Drosophila melanogaster: one gene and its partners. The gene in region 2 interacts genetically with the main gene of each other region. Each region holds a gene or a part of one and is shown on either strand. Other genes may lie near its edges.

Region 1 (4,487 bases), on a different chromosome or scaffold from region 2:
TGCTGATTTCCACTTGGCTCTAAGCTTAAATAATCTAATAAGAGAGTATTAATTATGCACTTCATTGTATTAGCAATAAGTACAGCTCAACTTACACCGCCCATTGGTATATCGCACCATTACTGACAATGCATTTGGTTCCCTGTTCCCTGTAGTAAGTCCATTTAAAGCTTCCAACGCTCTATCTGTGGTTATAATGTCGGCGTGTCCCCAAAGTGGATTATTTCGTTGTAGCCGTGATCCTGGGCTGATTGGATTCTGTCCATGATGCCTTACTGAGCGCATTGCATTATCACTTGGTGTACGGACTCTGAATTGCATTCTCCTTCTACGATTGCGTCGCCGCGATTTTACCCTAAGGTCTGGAGTTTCCCGATTCGTAATTCCAAGTGCCTGTCCAATCAAATGACGGCGCAAAAATAGCAAGTTAACTAGAGCTCTACGGCGACGCTTCTCAATACAAAATTTGGTTTTATTCATTGTTATTTGTTTAGGCCTTTATTTAGTACTCACAATTGCCATAGTTCGGTTATTTGCACTACATTTTCTAGGGCGACAAGCACCCATTGTTACACGATTTTGGTTGACTAACGAATTTAAACTTGTTGTTGAGGAAAATCCCTAGTTGTATATCCTGCCGCTGGTAATGTTATACTGACAATGATTACGAGCTCCCTTGCTTGACACGTGTCAATTCTCAAAAAAAGGCTGCTTCGATTAAGTTTTTCTTTCAAAAATGTTTATTACTACAAAAAAGTTCATAAATAGGTGGGAAATGTGACTTAAAACTCTATGTGCTTAAGAATACTATTACTCTTACGTGCTCTAAAACTTTGGAATAGCTGGGAAACAAGTACAAAAGTACAAACTAGAAACGTTCAATATATAATAATACACGACCAACAAGCAATGGGAACATGAATGGAAATCAATCAACTAGGGACTAGAACAACGCTTGAGTGGCTCAGTAATAGTAGTTGCGATGAGAGATCTTATCCCGATCCCCTAGCAATAGATGGGATCCGTGCTGTTGACTGGGTGATATGTCGCGTCCATTTGAATGTTCCACGAGTTGTCCACTCCCGTATTGCTGTAGTAGTAGTCGGCGGACTGCATCTGATCCTGCGGCTCCTGTTGATAATTGGTGAGATGCGGAAAAGTTCCCTGTTGCTGATGTTGCTGATAGGCGGTTGCTTCGTCGTAGATGAGATCCACGCCACTGGTCCCTCCGCCATTCAGAGTTGACTCAAACACACTGAAGATCTCCGAGCTGGTTGTGTAGAAACTTGCATCCTGGCTAAGATTCTGGCTTTGGCTTCCATTGCTCACGTCCAGCGAGTTGGGTAGATATCCATTGTAGTAGCCATAATCCTCGGAACAGTAGCCCGAGCTGCTGGTCAAACTGGACGTATCGTCGCATATTTCATACGAAGGCATTCCGCACTGAAGGCTGGAGGAGATTGGCTGGCTGGGATCATAGCTGACTGGTACATGTTGCTGCGGTGAGAGTTGCTGCTGGTATTGTGAGTGCTGCAGTTGCTGCGGTTTGTTCTCCTGGTAATAACTGCCCGTGGAGCTATGCGCTGAGAGAGGTGAGTGGAGCATATCGTAGGAGTACATTCCATTGGCATAGCATGGATCCTCCGTTTCGTAGTGAATCTCTCTATTCCACTGACTGATCACTGATCCTTGTCCTGCTGGGACATATGAACCCTGAGATTGATTAAAGTTGGTGCTATGTGTGGGCGTCGATGTGGGCAGGTAGGTGGTGGGTGGCACCACTAACTCCTGCTTGGTTTCGAGCACATCGGAAGCACCCATCCTTCTGCGCTTGCTCTCCTGGATGGACTGAGTCTTGGCCTGCCGTTTTGTGGGTCTCAGGCTACTCAGCTTGTCGCTCAGCGCCGATTCCCTGGCCAACATTACGGCCAAACTTCGCACACGTCTTCCTCCTGCCAAAAGTCGCCTGGCTTCCGTGGATCCCTTGGCTTCGGGTCTGGGGTGATCGTGGGTGCCCTTGGCCTGGAAATAGATTCCATTTCCGTCCCTGCGCCAGAAGTGGGTCACTGGATAGCCGCAGTGGCCGCGGCAAGCCTGGATTTCCAAGCGACCATTGCAATTTCTGTCAAGAAAAAAAAATAAAAATACCGAGTTAGTTTTGACAATTCTTGGATTTTGTGTTTAGTCAAAAACCCACCTATTGGGACACTGTTTGCCCTGCTGCTTCCTTCTGGCCTTGTCGCAAATGGCGGGTCTCAGATGCACACTGGCTCCATTGGGCAACTTGCACTTGGCACTGCAGAGGAGCACTCCCAGGCAGCTCTTCTTTAGGATATTCACGTTGTGGTTGTTGGTGTTTCGCATGGCCCAACCGCTGGCATGTTTCCTGGCCTCATCACTCTGCACGGAGTAGATGAGCCGGCAATGTCCGTTGGACCAGTCATTGAAATCGTCAAACTCCCCCACCGACGGCATCTTGGAATCGTTGATGTCCCAGTCGATCGCCACCCGGGACTTGGTGGCCGGAGGACTGGGCACAGGCATGGGCACTGGCATCGGTACTGGCATTGTTATAGGCATGCCGTTCAAAACCATTTTTGATGTGTCTATGTAATCGTTAGTTTCAAGTTCACACGCGGTCACTATAGTTTTCCTTCTCAATAGTCTATTACTACTGTGTACTTCTTCTCAACTTTTCTCTGGAGCGACGCGTCCGTTCGCATCGACTGCGCAAGGCTGACTAACTGGGCCCGCTCTGCGCAGCACAGTTAAGTTGCCAGCGGTCGAATCGCACGAGGGTTGCTCGGTCGCAAAGCGGTACGCCCATTGGTCCATGCTGACTTCCAGTTCGGGTGCGCTTGTGTGCGGCTTATCCGCCTTATCCGGCACTCCAGTTTGGGAAATTAGGAGAGTTCCCGAGCAGGTTTGATTGGTAGTAGTGGTAGCAGCAGCTGGAGATGGAGAATTCGTTCTATAGGGAACTGGGAGCTGGGAGAGCTTGAGCACAGGGAGCTGGGAGCTGGGAACTGGCAACTGGGCAGGGAGACGAGTGCTGTGCTGCTCTAGCACCTGCGGTTGCAGCACGCGCTCCACTGGGTAATTGTACGATATGAGAACCAGGGGTTTGAGGCACTCGATGGCAAAGAACACGGCCCCAACCCCAGTCAAAGCTAATTAAGTTCAGAAAAAAAGTTTACAACATCAGTAATGGAAATGGAGATGGGGATGGGGCTGTGTGTGGATGGGGATGTGCTGTATGGCATGGGTTCTGATGGGTACACCTGGCGACAGTCACTGGCAGATGCCAGTGGTCGGGCCTATTTACTTTCGAACTGGATGTGGATGTCGAAATGGGGAGCAAAGTGAAATGGTTGGAGGGCAAGCAGAGTTACGAACAAAATGGAGATGGTTCCAACGAAGCACGGAAAGTAATTTAGTTCAAGGCTTTAAGACTTTTTTAATGCGGACATTAAAGCTGCTAAATCTACTTAACTTCAGAGGTAGAAATTATTCTGTAAAAAAATTTCAAAATCAAACGTAAATTTTAATGGAAATGACTCACAGAAATATAGAAATATTACCACTATATATAGTCACTATTATAGAATTTGGTAAGGCAACGGTATAGCTAACGGAACTACTTCTCACGATCTCAAAATCGATAAAGAAATAAACGTTTGCAAAAAAAGAAACCGAAATGTCGAGCTCCTGCCGATATCTTCAAGATGAAATCAGGGATCTCATAATCGTAAAACACAATTTAGCACGCAAAAAAACGGAAATCAAAAAGAAGAAATCCCATATTGGAAAACCTCCCCTACAAACCCAAAGGCAAATGCCATAACTCACGCATATGAATGAAGCAAAGTTTGCCAAACAAATTCCTTGGGCCCCTTGGCGATCTCAAGTCAGAGATAAACGAAACAAACATAATCATTAAGATGACGAAAGGGTGAGGAAACTCCATAATTTTCACACTTCCACGACAGACCAAATGCCATGCAATTATGACACGAACTGAGCGAGCAACCCGCGGCGCCTTTCTGCCAAGGAGTCGCCCAAAGATCAGGATCGTAGCACGCGATAGGAACTCAAAGGATTACGGCGGACAATGGGAAAGGGTGCTCCGACCGGGACTCGAGGGGCGTTGACACAGAAGAAAGTCATGACGTGGCATATTATGAGGCTGTGCTGGGGAAGCACATCCTACCTGGTCCCAGATTCCCGCACTCAAGGTGGGTGTGTCGCCTTAATGATGCCCGGAATTAACTGTTCCGTTTCAATTACGAGACATCACTTGGCAATCAAATTTATTTGACACTTTCTCTGCGGGGGCCAGTGGAGAACAGAACTCTTTTCTTTCCCAATGAAACTCAGTCCAATTGCGGCTATAAAATTCGACCAAAAATTACGCATAAATGTCATCGTAAATTCGGCATCTACCCTATCCGTCGGCGGTGTCGTGGGAAGTTACGCCCCTGGCATAT
Region 2 (5,898 bases):
CCGATATCGATAGCGGGACATGCGCACTACACCCCCTATTCACCACTCAAATTGGATAGAATTTTCACGAAACCGAAAGGAAAAAGAAAATCATACTAAGAAGAAACTGAGAAAAACCAAAAAGGGTGCAGTGAAGTATTCACACCAGAAAAACCGATCCTTCGAGGGCTAAAAAGGTGATGGGGTTGGGGAATGAAATAAATGCGTGCCACACTCACCGTAGACTTTCCCAATGATGCCCACGGTGGAGGTCATCTGGAGATCCGGAAAAGTCAGCGGCAGCGTGTGCGGATGGAGCTGAGCTGGCCCACCGGGAGCCAGCTCACGCTCCGTGGACATTTTAGTCGGTGTCGGCGTCAGTTTGAGGCGGCGTCGCTGCTCCTGAAAAATCAAGTAAATCGTGATGATAAATCAATAATCTAGATATCTATTTCAATTCTAATTTCAGGGAATTCCTCTTCCTGCTCTCCACACCCAAAGTGGCAGCTACGAATCCCAAGTGCGTGGTCAAGCCAGAAATCGTCTGCGATCGCCAGCCGGCCAACATCAAGTTTGCCCTGATTGATTCAGCGCAAGGTAAGAATACCTAAACTGGGACAGCTGAAATATCTAACTAAAAGGAACCAAAATACATATGAAATATGTATTGAAAAATTGGTTTCCTTTTAGCGTGGGCAACTAAGTTAACCCTTTTGAAACTGCAACATTCAAAGAGCAAACACTTATTGATATTATATCATTCACAGAACAAGCCCAAGTCAAGGAGATCCGCTTCAACAGCGATAACCTAAACACACTAGAGCTGCTGCAGCTGTGCAACAAGCACGTGTCCAGCTTGGCACCGCGCGAGGAGATCACCAACAAGGTCCTGACCAAGGCGGAGAAACAGAAACTAGCAGGAGGCGCCGGCGGCGGAAAGAAGGCAACCAAGAAGAAGTAACCATCAGGATGGTGAGGAAGCACAAAGGAACACTGGCGGTGATCGAGAAGATCTACCAGGATATACCCGCATTCTCCGACATCTTCACCGAGGAGAGCTTCTACATGTTCGCCTTCTGTTTCGTGTGCGCCACCATTCTGGTGGCCTTCATTCTCTCCCGGTTCATCACCATCAAGCCCGTCGATTTCTAAGCCAATTGTATTGTTCAATTCCGCACACGTACTTTTCAAAATATATATACGCTCTAACATGTAACAAACACTCCGCACTGTATTGTCTTTTTGGCCCGACTGTGCAAAAGGGCAGCGCTCGATTCGATTCGGTCAGCCTGTCGTTTGTTTCATTTTTTTTTCGCCATTCGAAACCAGTTTTTCGGTCCCTGGCAAACCGGAAAATCATCTGCTCCTGCTGCTGCTGCAGCGGCTGCTGTTTGCTGCGCTTGCTGATGTCAGCGGATCGGAGAGCCGCCTGCCGTCCCAAAGCTTATAATCACAATGGGGCGGGAGGAGCCAATGGTAATTGGACCGCAGGAAGTCGACCAAATGGGCCATGCAAAGTGGACGGTGGACGTGGCTGGGGTGGACCACTACAGACTTGTTCATGAATTGTGGCATTAATTTGTTACTGCTCCAAGTGAATGATCATCTGCATTCTTGTAATGACAACAAGGATGCAACAGGCAGTGGAGAAAGCTTCTCTGTTGCCAAGACAGCTGTTGAGATGAATTGAAGTCTTATTCTAATGGGGGAGCAAGGAAGAAAGTGCACTGTGCAGTTCAAGCTTTGAGCTAAAGTTTTGAAATGGCGCGCTCTAAATGTGTGAATATGTACGTATTTGCGACGAAATCGATGGCTGCAACTGGCAACAATCTGTTGGAGTGTGGCAGCTGCAAAAATGGTTGGTGAAAGTTGCCCCAAAAAGCTGCGGCACCCTGTGATTAATAGAATTCTGTTCAGAGTGCCCCCAAGTTCAATGTCAGGCTGCAAGCTTTCTCCCCGCCTGTTCGCCAGCCGTTTTGAAGGAGTCACGTCGTAAAAACTTTCACCACCCACTTTTAAATTTTGAAGTTGCGAACGAGGTATTATAGCTTCGATCATAAGATTGCAAATTGGAGCTTGCGCATTAATAACATAGCAAATTTAAGTTTTTGAAACCGATAAGTTTTTTATACTTATAAAACCTTTTTTTAATATGTCGCTAGAAACGTTAAAAAGCTTTGTTTAATTATAGCATAAGTCCTTACAAATTGGTTTTAAATTACTGGTTTTTGTTATAAGTTAGTAACTCATATAAATTTTAACTCCCCAATGTTTTGATAAGATTTTAATCGGTTTAGGATTGGATCATATAATCCTATCGCAATAACTGTATAAAAGGGTATTATTAGTTTGTTAAAAGTTCAAGAGCATGTAAACCTGTCGACACGAACTTCTTCGTCGATTCGTGACGTAATTCGCGAGGGACGTGGATGGCGGGGATATTAACGAACGAAAGTTCTATTGGAAGCTAAGGATGTGACCTTTCTACCAAAACATAAACACTGTCTGTACGGTCGTCCCTCTCGCACCCCCGCGCTCACACGCTTGGCGCTCTTGAAAATTTCCCAAAGCATATGCTCAGGCGCCATTAGTGTTTTGGTTTCCTGTATTTTTGTTTTTTTTTTTTTTTTATTTTGGGGCACTTCCATTTTACTTGCAGCTCCTGCAGCTGTTCTGGAAGCCTCCATTTGCCGGCAAATTGAAAGATTCATAATTTTGTACTTACCTTATCGCAAAATTGCAGCTGACTTTGGTGTGTGTGTGCGCTTTTATCAGCTTTATCAGCGGCAAATCAATCGTTTTTTTTGGTGAATTCCGTTTAATGGAGGGGAACTCATTAAGGAGTTGAGTGGGGTTTGCGTCTCGACTGGATTTAAACCGTTGCGGACGTTACTTTTCCAGCGCTAATTGGAAGAAACGAGAAAGATAAGTGCAGGAAATGGAAATGGAATTGGTTAAAACGCAGTTTGTGCGGCTGCTGTTGTTGTTAGTGTTGCCAGATCGTTGCGCCGGAGATATGCATGAAATTGCGAGTCCGGGGAGCTTTTTGTTTACTTTGCTATTTGACAACACACACTCTTAAGCAGCTCCTATTTTATTTAGTTTTATTTTTTGCAAGCTTCCAGGCCTGTTTAACAGCGCGCGTGTGTGTGCGTGTGAGTCAAAGGTTGTCGGTGTGCGTTAGGCACTCGACTCTCTCTCTCTCTGTCTCACTGCCCTCTCTCTTCGCGCTTTCTGTGTTTGCTTTGATTTTTGTTTTTGCCGCGGCTTTTAACTTTTTTATGACAACTACTTTGGAGGGAAAAGCTTTCCCCACAGCTCCGCGAAGCAGTCATGCAAAAAAAAAACATACAGGCTGCCACTAGACACACACACCTTCTCACGTCCGCCAAAAGCACCAACACACAAACACACACAGGCACAGAGATTGCTGCAAAATGAAAGCACCAACAACAACAGATACAAAAACATCCAGCCCGCAACGCAAAAATTGGCGAAAAAATATGGCAATTACTGCAGATCTGGATATATCCGGGTTTGATTCGCCTGGCGGAGATCGCTTGAGATCGTTATGTATGAGAATTGAGAGTCAGCTTCGGAAAATTGCGAACGCGCGAGTTTTGCACAAACACAACTTATTTGCTGGCCGTTTTGGAATTGAATAAAATAAATATTGTTGCGTGTGCCTGTGTGTGTATATATCTGTGTGAGACGGCTCTCGCTGAGAGAGCGCGCAATTCGCGCCAGAAAGGGACGACCAGTGTGTTGCGATGAGAGAGCGGGGCAGCGAGCTTTTGTTAGGGGGACACCAACAAAATGACCTTGTCGGGATTAATATTACCGTTACTTCCATATATCCCCCCATTATTAACTTCAAAATTTAAAATAAATTGTACACGTTAGACTTTGTTTTTTTAAATTAAATTAGGTAAGCCAAAAACCCAAGTATAATGAGTATAATGATGCATTCTGAAAAGAGCTGGACGAGTACTTACCAAAACGCGTATCCTTTTATTAAAGTAGTAATATTTTAAATATAAATTAATAAGCCGTTTTGATGTATATCAAACACACAATTAGATAGATAACTACCGATTAACTCCCATTTGAATTTATTTAGCATCCAAAAATCACTCAGCACATGAAAAAATTTGCTTTCGGATTCCATATCAATGACTACCAAGCCGCACACGTAAGCTACTTTTGCTTCTCCTCCTGTTTTTCGGTAGCGGGATCTGTGTTCTCATCGCGGGCCACTGAAGTTGGGGTTTCGGGATCGCTGGCCTTCTTCTCGCTGGCGGAGGGTTTGCCACCCATGGTGGCACCGGGGGGCAGACTCTTCTCCAGAGCACGCACAAAATCCTCTAGATTGCCAGAGAAGGCGGCGGCCACTGCTTCGTTGGACAACTCGAATTGCTTGATCACAGGTCCCAGCTGGGCCGATTGCAGGGCACTGGAGAACTGGGCCAGAGCCTGCTGGAACTGCGGGGAGGTGATATTGTCCTTGATCTGCTGCTTGCGATCATCGTCCACATCCTCCGACTCGGGCAGGTGCACGATCAGCGTCTTGACATGCTCCGGATCGGCAATTATCTGATTGATGGCATCGGCGCCGGGTAGGGCCGTCGATAGGTCAATATTCAGGGATCGTCCTGCGCCATGTTCGGGGGAGAGATTGGATAAGTAGGCTTGGAATGGATTGGCATAGGCTCCGGTCGATTTTGACGCCGTTGTGGTCGATGTGGTTGAGTTCTTACCGGGGGCATCCGCATCAACGGAGGAGCCGGCACCTTCGCCGACCTGCGAGTTCACATTGCTGCTGCTGCGGCTGCTGCCCGATTTCGATGGAGCGCTCGGAGTGCGCGGCACACTGACGTTTTCGGGCGTCTGCAAGGCCGATGCCCCACCGCCACCCGATGAGGAGGTGTTGCGCGACGAGGGCGTCCGGGAGCTGCGGAGAATATAGAAAGGAAAATATTGAAAAAGGGGGTGAACTCAAGTTCTGGCTTCATTCCTTCGATTACATGCTTATAAACAATAAAAACGATACCCTGTAAGTTAAGAAGCTATCTACTTGACTAGTTCTTGGACACTATGGCTGCAAGGGTTTAAATGCTCACTTCATTTGGCCCAGCAGCGAGCTGAGACCACCCATCTGGCCAACGCCGCCGAAGAGCTGCATCAGCTGCTGCTGCGACATGTTGTTGAGCATGTACTGGAGGTCGCCGTCGTTGCTGCCGCCGCCGCCGCGCTGGTGGGCGGATGGAGGGTTGTTCAGCAGCTCGTTGATGCGGCGGCACTGCTCGTCGTCCTTGTCCGTCTTGGGCTCCTGCATCCAGAAGAACATGCGGCGTGTCGATGACTTGAACTTAAGCACATAGACACGGCCCGTCTTGCACTGATCGACGCGCTTGTACTCGAAGTCATCGGGGAAGACGATGAGATCGTCCTCCACCTTGCCGGAGGTGCGATCCTTCCAGCAGAAGTGCATCAGGCCATCGTCACTCTGGGTCATGTAGACCAGGCCCTTGCGCGGATCCGGATGCACCATCTTGCCCACCATGTTCATGCGACCTGCGCGGAACTCCACCAGGTTGCTGCTGTTGCTGGAACTACCCAGTCCACTTTGTCTTCCAAACATGATGCGGGTGCTTCTTGAGAGCTGGCGAAGATTGGATGAAGAACGTATTGTAATTACGACTTTCTTTGGCGCATAACTCGAAAGTGTTTTATGGTGCCGTGATCGGTTTGGGGTTATTAGTAGTCGCTGCACTACTTACGGGATATATAATGCGTTTACTTTGTTGAGTTTATCAAAAATTCAGTGAATCGTCAATTCCCAATGACGAGCAAAATTTGTCTTCTTCTTACCTCAGCAGTGTTACCATCAACGGGTGAATTCTAACATTTAGTATTTCA
Region 3 (5,679 bases), on a different chromosome or scaffold from region 2:
GGAGCATAAGAGCATCTGCTACGGGGCCGATTGGGCACCATGGAGAAACAAGGACGATGCGTCCTTGACCATGGCCACTTGCTCCTTTTATGATCACACGTTGTGTGTGAGTCGCGTGGATATTAACAAATGAATTCGATATCTGTATATTATGTTATGTGACTAAAAACTAAAAGAAAAATAAACATTTGCTGGCTTATGTTTTTCAACTATCTATAGTTTGTATAATAGTTTGCGGAAAAAACAGAATTGTTCATGGCATTTGGGATATCCTAAGTTTTCCAAAACTAATTTTAAACTGCCAACATCCCTGGCAGGCGATATCGATAACGCATGCAATCGGCTCAGCCCTGGTGCGGTTATCGTAAGTTCTGTCAGCGCATTTTCATTCGAAGTTTGCGAATTCAGAGAAGTGAATGAACTTGAACTGTTTAGTTATGGTAAGTACTAAACGTAGAGATCCTGCTAACTTTATAAACTCCTCATTCTACTCCGCACAGCATCCCCCACAAAATCCAAACAAGTTGGACGCCGAGGATAGCCTGGATCAGGCTATAGACAACATCGAAGACTCAAACGAGGCCAATCTCTATAAGCTTATCGAGCTGGAGGAGCAGAATGTGGCCTGGGAGAAACATCTTGCGGAACTCCAAATTATGATCAGGCAGGTGATGGAAAAGCTCGACAGGAGTTTGGTCAAACAGGAGGCGCTGGTGGCGAAAATGCAGAAGCTGAAGAATCAGAAAGATCAGGAGGGTCAATAATTATTGTACCGGAGGCGTGCTTTTGGCGTTAATTTTGATTTCATTTATAAATACATATGTAAAATATAGGTATCACACGCTTTTCCATTTGATTTTCTCAGAGTAACAAGTAGAAGGCTTTTCTCCTACGCCACCACATTCTGGATCCAGTTGAGGGCGCCGCGAATGCGACGCAGCCGGGCGCGTGCCAGAAAGCTGCATATGAGCAGGTACTCCACATAGGCGCGCCTATTGCCACAGCTGGCCACTGGCATCAATCCGGCGCCCATCTGTGGACGACCCTCGCACATAATCTTAGTGGTCAGCGAAAGGAGCCACTGTAGGATCTGTAAAAAAAAATCATAATTAGCTTAAAAGGATGCTGATGTGGTATCAAACACTGCGACCCACCTCCGGACTGTTGGGCATGCCGCCCGCCTTAAGCCAATTGGATGGGGCCCAGAGGAACAGCTGCACCACATTTGCCGCAATATCCGGACTGACCCGCTTGGACGGGTTGGGATTGAGGATGTTGTAGACCAGCTGTTGCAGCAGCGGCGGGCAAGCATCGCTCATTGGCGGCAATTGGTCCTGTCGGTAATCGCTGTTCCTCAGCGAAAGCGTCATCTCACCGCGTTCGCGCGCCATCCCACCGCTGCTCGAATAGAACGGATTGCGGTTGCCAAAGATTTCGTAAGCCAGGGCACCGCAAGCCCACAGATCGGCCTTGCCATAATTGAGTACGGCAAACGGACCGGGCATCGTATTGAAGATCTCTGGCGCCATCAACGCCGCATTGCCGCCCTTGTCGACGTCGTGCGAAACGTACGGCAGGCGCAGGCCATGCACCTTGTCCGCCAGACAACAGCCAAAGTCGGAGAGCACTAGCACCGGCGCCGCATCGTCCTGCAGCTCGATTAGCACATTATCAGACTTTAGGTCACGATGGGCAACGCCGTGACGGCTCAAATGGTTGACAGCCTCGAGCATTTGAGCCAGCAGCAGGATGCGATTGCGCGTGCTCAGATCCTGGCTATCGAGCAGGCCGCGAAGACTGTGATCGTAGCGTTTCATCAGCAGATACAGCGACATATTGCGGCCATAGCCCTGTGGATTGATGCGTTGCGGCTGCGCCACCGGATACAGGAGATGGCCATCGGGAAAGTTGCGCACCTCGTCGCAAAAGAAGCCAAACATACAGACAATGTTCGGATGCCGCGGCAGGTGAACAGTTTGATTCTGCAGCAAACGTTCCCACTCATCGGCGGCCTCATTCATGCCGCGCTGGCGTGCCGGTACCGTCTCCTTGTACATGGCACGCAGTATGGACAGAGCGTTGCTCTGGATGTCGTAGTTGAACATCATTTTGAGTGCCAGTGGATAACTGTCCACAGAGCTGTTGATGTTTGAATTCGCTGGAGAAGTCTGCAAGTTAAAGCAAAGAGCGTGATGGCAAGTTGCCATGCAGATTTAAGCTTACATATTTACCACATTGAAGGCACTGCTGCTGGGCTCCTGGTTCTGATGCTGCTCTTGTTCCTGATTCTGATGCTGCTGTTGCTCGTGGTGCCGCTGGTCCTGTTCCCTCGACTGGGCGCCCACGAAATCACTGGCCGCAGATGGCTGGCTGTAGTGGAAGACGTTGTCCACAGAGCCGCCAAAGTTGTGAACAAAGCGCGACATGTTCTGCAGCGGCGACATCATCTCGTGGGTACTCCAGCTATTCGGCGCAAAGGCTGGCGTTGCCTGCGGCTGCGCATCGGTATGCAGGGATGCACCATCCGAGGCAACATCTTTCTTGAAATCCGCTGCATAGACGACAGCGGCACAACCTTTGGCTATGGGCGGACCGATTTCCAAGTCATCGATGGTGAACTTGCTGTCTAGCGTATCGGAGATCTCGTCGTGATTCCAGGCGTTCTGCAGCCGGCTAGCTGCCTCCCGAATCTCCCAGCACACGCCCTCCAGTTCATCCTCCTTGCTGAGCACACCCGATCCGGAGGCCAGACTAACGCCAATCAGGGCGAAGAAGGGCGCTGAATCGCCAAAGAATAGCTTGCGGGTAGCGCGCTGGCGCAGATCCTCCGAGTAGGTGGTGGTCACCCGGCTGAGGATGTTGTCGATGAACAATTTGCGCGCATGCTGGCCCACTCGGAAGATTCCACTGCTGCTGGTGGGGCTACTGCCGCTGCCATTAAACGGTGATCCCGACGGGGAGTTGATGGTGCGGGGCACTACATTGACCACCGATTTGGCCGCCTGCTGGGGCGTTGTCTGGCGAAGAGATTGGATGCGGGTTAATTGGACATGCCTTGATCATCCGTTTAGCTTGACTTACCCGCAGCACATTGGCAGCGGTGGAGGGTAGGGGAAAGCCTCGCTTGCTTCTTGTCTTCAATTGATTCTGGTCCAAAATGTTGGCGTGTATATCACGTTTACAATAGCTGCGCAAAATGTAGCGACCATGTTTGATCAGTCGCACGGTCAGCAGTCTCACAGACATCTTTCGGCCCGCAAAGACCTCGGCTCCTAGTGCCTGCAACTGAATGAAGCACCTTAAACGGTCTGTCATCTATTAATTTAATTTTTAATTTTTACCTATTCTTTAAGATTTGTGGTGCTTAACTCTTGCTGCTGCTTCCTCTTCTTCTCCGCCAATTTTGCTCATGTGTGCGATCGATAGCGCCGATTTATAACCAAACAGCTGCTGTCGTTTCGTTTCGGTTCGGTTCGTTTCGATTCGATTGTTTTGTTTTTGCGTCGCAAATAAATTTTCTGTTTGTGGGTGGTGGTGGTTGTGGTGCAGCTGCGGGGCGAAGTGTGGGGGCGGTGGTGGCAGAACTACAAGGCGAAATCGTCGAATCGAAAGGGTTTATTTTTGCAATGATTATCCAAAGATATATCGCCTTTTTCGATATCTGTGTGGGCTAGACTGATTTTGGGCTATTTTCAACTGAACAAAACGATTAATTTACGACCTCCAACTTGCCTGGCAGCCAATTTTTAATGTAATGCGCCTACTTCAACGTTTCGTTTCGATTCGATTTGGTCGTTAGATAATCGCTGGTCAGCTGGATCTTTTCATTTGTCACGGAAAATGTGCGCCGCAATAAACACTTGTTTAAAAGCTTGCTTTGCTTATATTTCGCTATAAAATAATAGCTAAGTGTGCAAGAATTTACGATAAAAACAACGGAATAATTTAGAAACAGCAAGGCGTTAGTGTGACCACACTTACGGTATATCTTTAGAATCGATAATGACTATCGCGTAGTGTGGACTCGAATCATTTGGAGAATTCAAAAACTAAAAACCGTTATTCACCTGCCGTAAAATCAACAAATTAATACAATCTATTGAAATATCCTGCTACACACAAAAATTTATTACACGAAACTAAAACAAAATCGTCAATAGCCGCACAGCGAATCACTTCGGTCCCAGCATCTCCTTGGGATTGACCCACTCCTTGAACTGCTCTTCGGTAATTCCGGTCTTCAGTGCCTCCTCCTTCAAGGTCGTCTTATTCTTGTGCGCCGTCTTGGCGATCAGGGCGGCCTTGTCATAGCCAATGTGCGGATTCAGCGCGGTCACCAGCATCAAGGACTCGTTCATGATCTTGTCGATCCTCTCCTTGTTGGCCTGCAGTCCCTCCACGCAGTTCTTGCTGAAGGTCATGCTGCCATCAGCTGGGAGGAGAAGGTTATGTATGCATGTTTTTCCACTTGGAAAACACATTTCCGACTCACCCAACAAGCGAATGGAGCGCAGCACATTGGACACGACCAGGGGTTTGAATACATTTAGCTCGAAGTGCCCGTTGGAGCCGCCGATGGTCACCGCCACCTGATTGCCCATCACCTGGGCACACAGCATGGTCATTGATTCGCATTGCGTGGGATTCACCTTGCCGGGCATGATGGAGCTACCGGGCTCGTTCTCCGGCAGCATTAGTTCGCCCAGACCGCAACGCGGACCCGATCCCAGCAATCGGATATCGTTGGCGATCTTCATCAGGCTGACGGCGATCGTGTTGAGCACACCATGCACCTCCACCATGGCATCGCGGGCAGCCAGTGCCTCGAACTTGTTGGGCGCCGACACGAAGGGCAAGCAGGTTAGCTCCGAAATGCGCTTGGCCACCTTCTCGGCGAATCCCTTGCGTGTGTTCAGACCCGTACCCACAGCAGTGCCGCCCAGAGCCAGCTCATAGACGCGCGGCAGACAGCCCTTGATCCTTTCCAGACCGTTGGTCAACTGCTGTGTATAACCGCTGAATTCCTGGCCCAAAGTCAGCGGAACTGCGTCCATCAAGTGGGTGCGTCCGATCTTGATGATGTCCTTGAACTCATCCGACTTGGACTTGAGGGCATCCCTCAAGTGTGTAACCGCCGGAACAAGCCGCTCGTTCAGCTCCATGCCCACCGAAATGTGAATGGCCGTGGGGAAGGTGTCGTTGGAGCTCTGCGACTTGTTCACATGATCGTTGGGATGCACCGGCTTCTTGCTGCCCAGTTCGCCGCCCATCATCTTAATGGCCGCATTGCTGATCACCTAGTAGGTTTGCCAATGGCATGGGGCAGGAGAAGCATCCAGCTATACACATTTCTCTCGTTAGCCCTATCTAACAATCTTACCTCGTTGGTGTTCATATTGGTCTGGGTGCCCGAACCGGTTTGCCAGATGACCAATGGGAAGTGACCCTGTTTGTATAGCTTGCCGGAAATGACATCGTCGCAGGCGCAGGATACGGCATCCGACACCTTGCCATCTAGTCCGTAATCCTTGTTGACCTCGGCACATGCCTTCTTCAGTATGCCCATGGCCTGGATCACCGGCATCTGCGGGCAGTTTGGGGATTAATTGGCTATGGCAAAGCACTTGGTAGATGCCAGAATATGTTGGTTGGTTGGTTGGTTGCCTACCGGCATACGTT

The links.
Region 1: of AGO1 (region 2) and gcm, changing one suppresses a phenotype caused by changing the other (phenotypic suppression), as found in Drosophila melanogaster (2 studies listed by BioGRID).
Region 3: of AGO1 (region 2) and Pink1, changing one suppresses a phenotype caused by changing the other (phenotypic suppression), as found in Drosophila melanogaster (one study listed by BioGRID).

The regions. Positions count from the first base shown.
Region 1 is NT_033779.5:9,578,998-9,583,484, forward strand, and holds gcm (glial cells missing), read right to left. Parts: upstream 2,749-4,487; 5' UTR 2,596-2,748; coding exon 2,198-2,595; intron 2,123-2,197; coding exon 1,006-2,122; 3' UTR 568-1,005; coding exon of another isoform or gene 514-567; 3' UTR 501-513; downstream 1-500. Other genes in the region: CG31709 (uncharacterized protein), read right to left, coding at 1-34, 96-450, 514-567. UniProt on the Drosophila melanogaster protein: Transcription factor that induces gliogenesis. It determines the choice between glial and neuronal fates. Also has a role in the differentiation of the plasmatocyte/macrophage lineage of hemocytes.
Region 2 is NT_033778.4:13,954,469-13,960,366, forward strand, and holds the start of AGO1 (Argonaute-1), read right to left. Parts: upstream 3,622-5,898; 5' UTR 3,494-3,621; intron 2,883-3,493; 5' UTR 2,705-2,882; intron 1,213-2,704; exon of another isoform or gene 1,132-1,212; coding exon of another isoform or gene 949-1,131; exon of another isoform or gene 941-948; coding exon of another isoform or gene 747-940; intron 577-746; coding exon of another isoform or gene 449-576; intron 394-448; exon of another isoform or gene 382-393; 5' UTR 340-381; coding exon 219-339; exon of another isoform or gene 30-218; intron 1-29. Other genes in the region: mRpL53 (mitochondrial ribosomal protein L53), read left to right, coding at 449-576, 747-940; CG33155 (uncharacterized protein), read left to right, coding at 949-1,131; Rpn13 (regulatory particle non-ATPase 13), read right to left, coding at 4,177-4,930, 5,100-5,620.
Region 3 is NC_004354.4:6,682,124-6,687,802, reverse strand, and holds Pink1 (PTEN-induced putative kinase 1), read right to left. Parts: upstream 3,963-5,679; 5' UTR 3,733-3,962; exon of another isoform or gene 3,676-3,732; 5' UTR 3,342-3,675; intron 3,286-3,341; 5' UTR 3,247-3,285; coding exon 3,082-3,246; intron 3,018-3,081; coding exon 2,232-3,017; intron 2,169-2,231; coding exon 1,155-2,168; intron 1,091-1,154; coding exon 890-1,090; 3' UTR 765-889; downstream 1-764. Other genes in the region: CG3184 (uncharacterized protein), read left to right, coding at 1-133; CG44303 (uncharacterized protein), read left to right, coding at 438-440, 501-764; Fum2 (fumarase 2), read right to left, coding at 4,173-4,432, 4,493-5,297, 5,381-5,584, 5,669-5,679.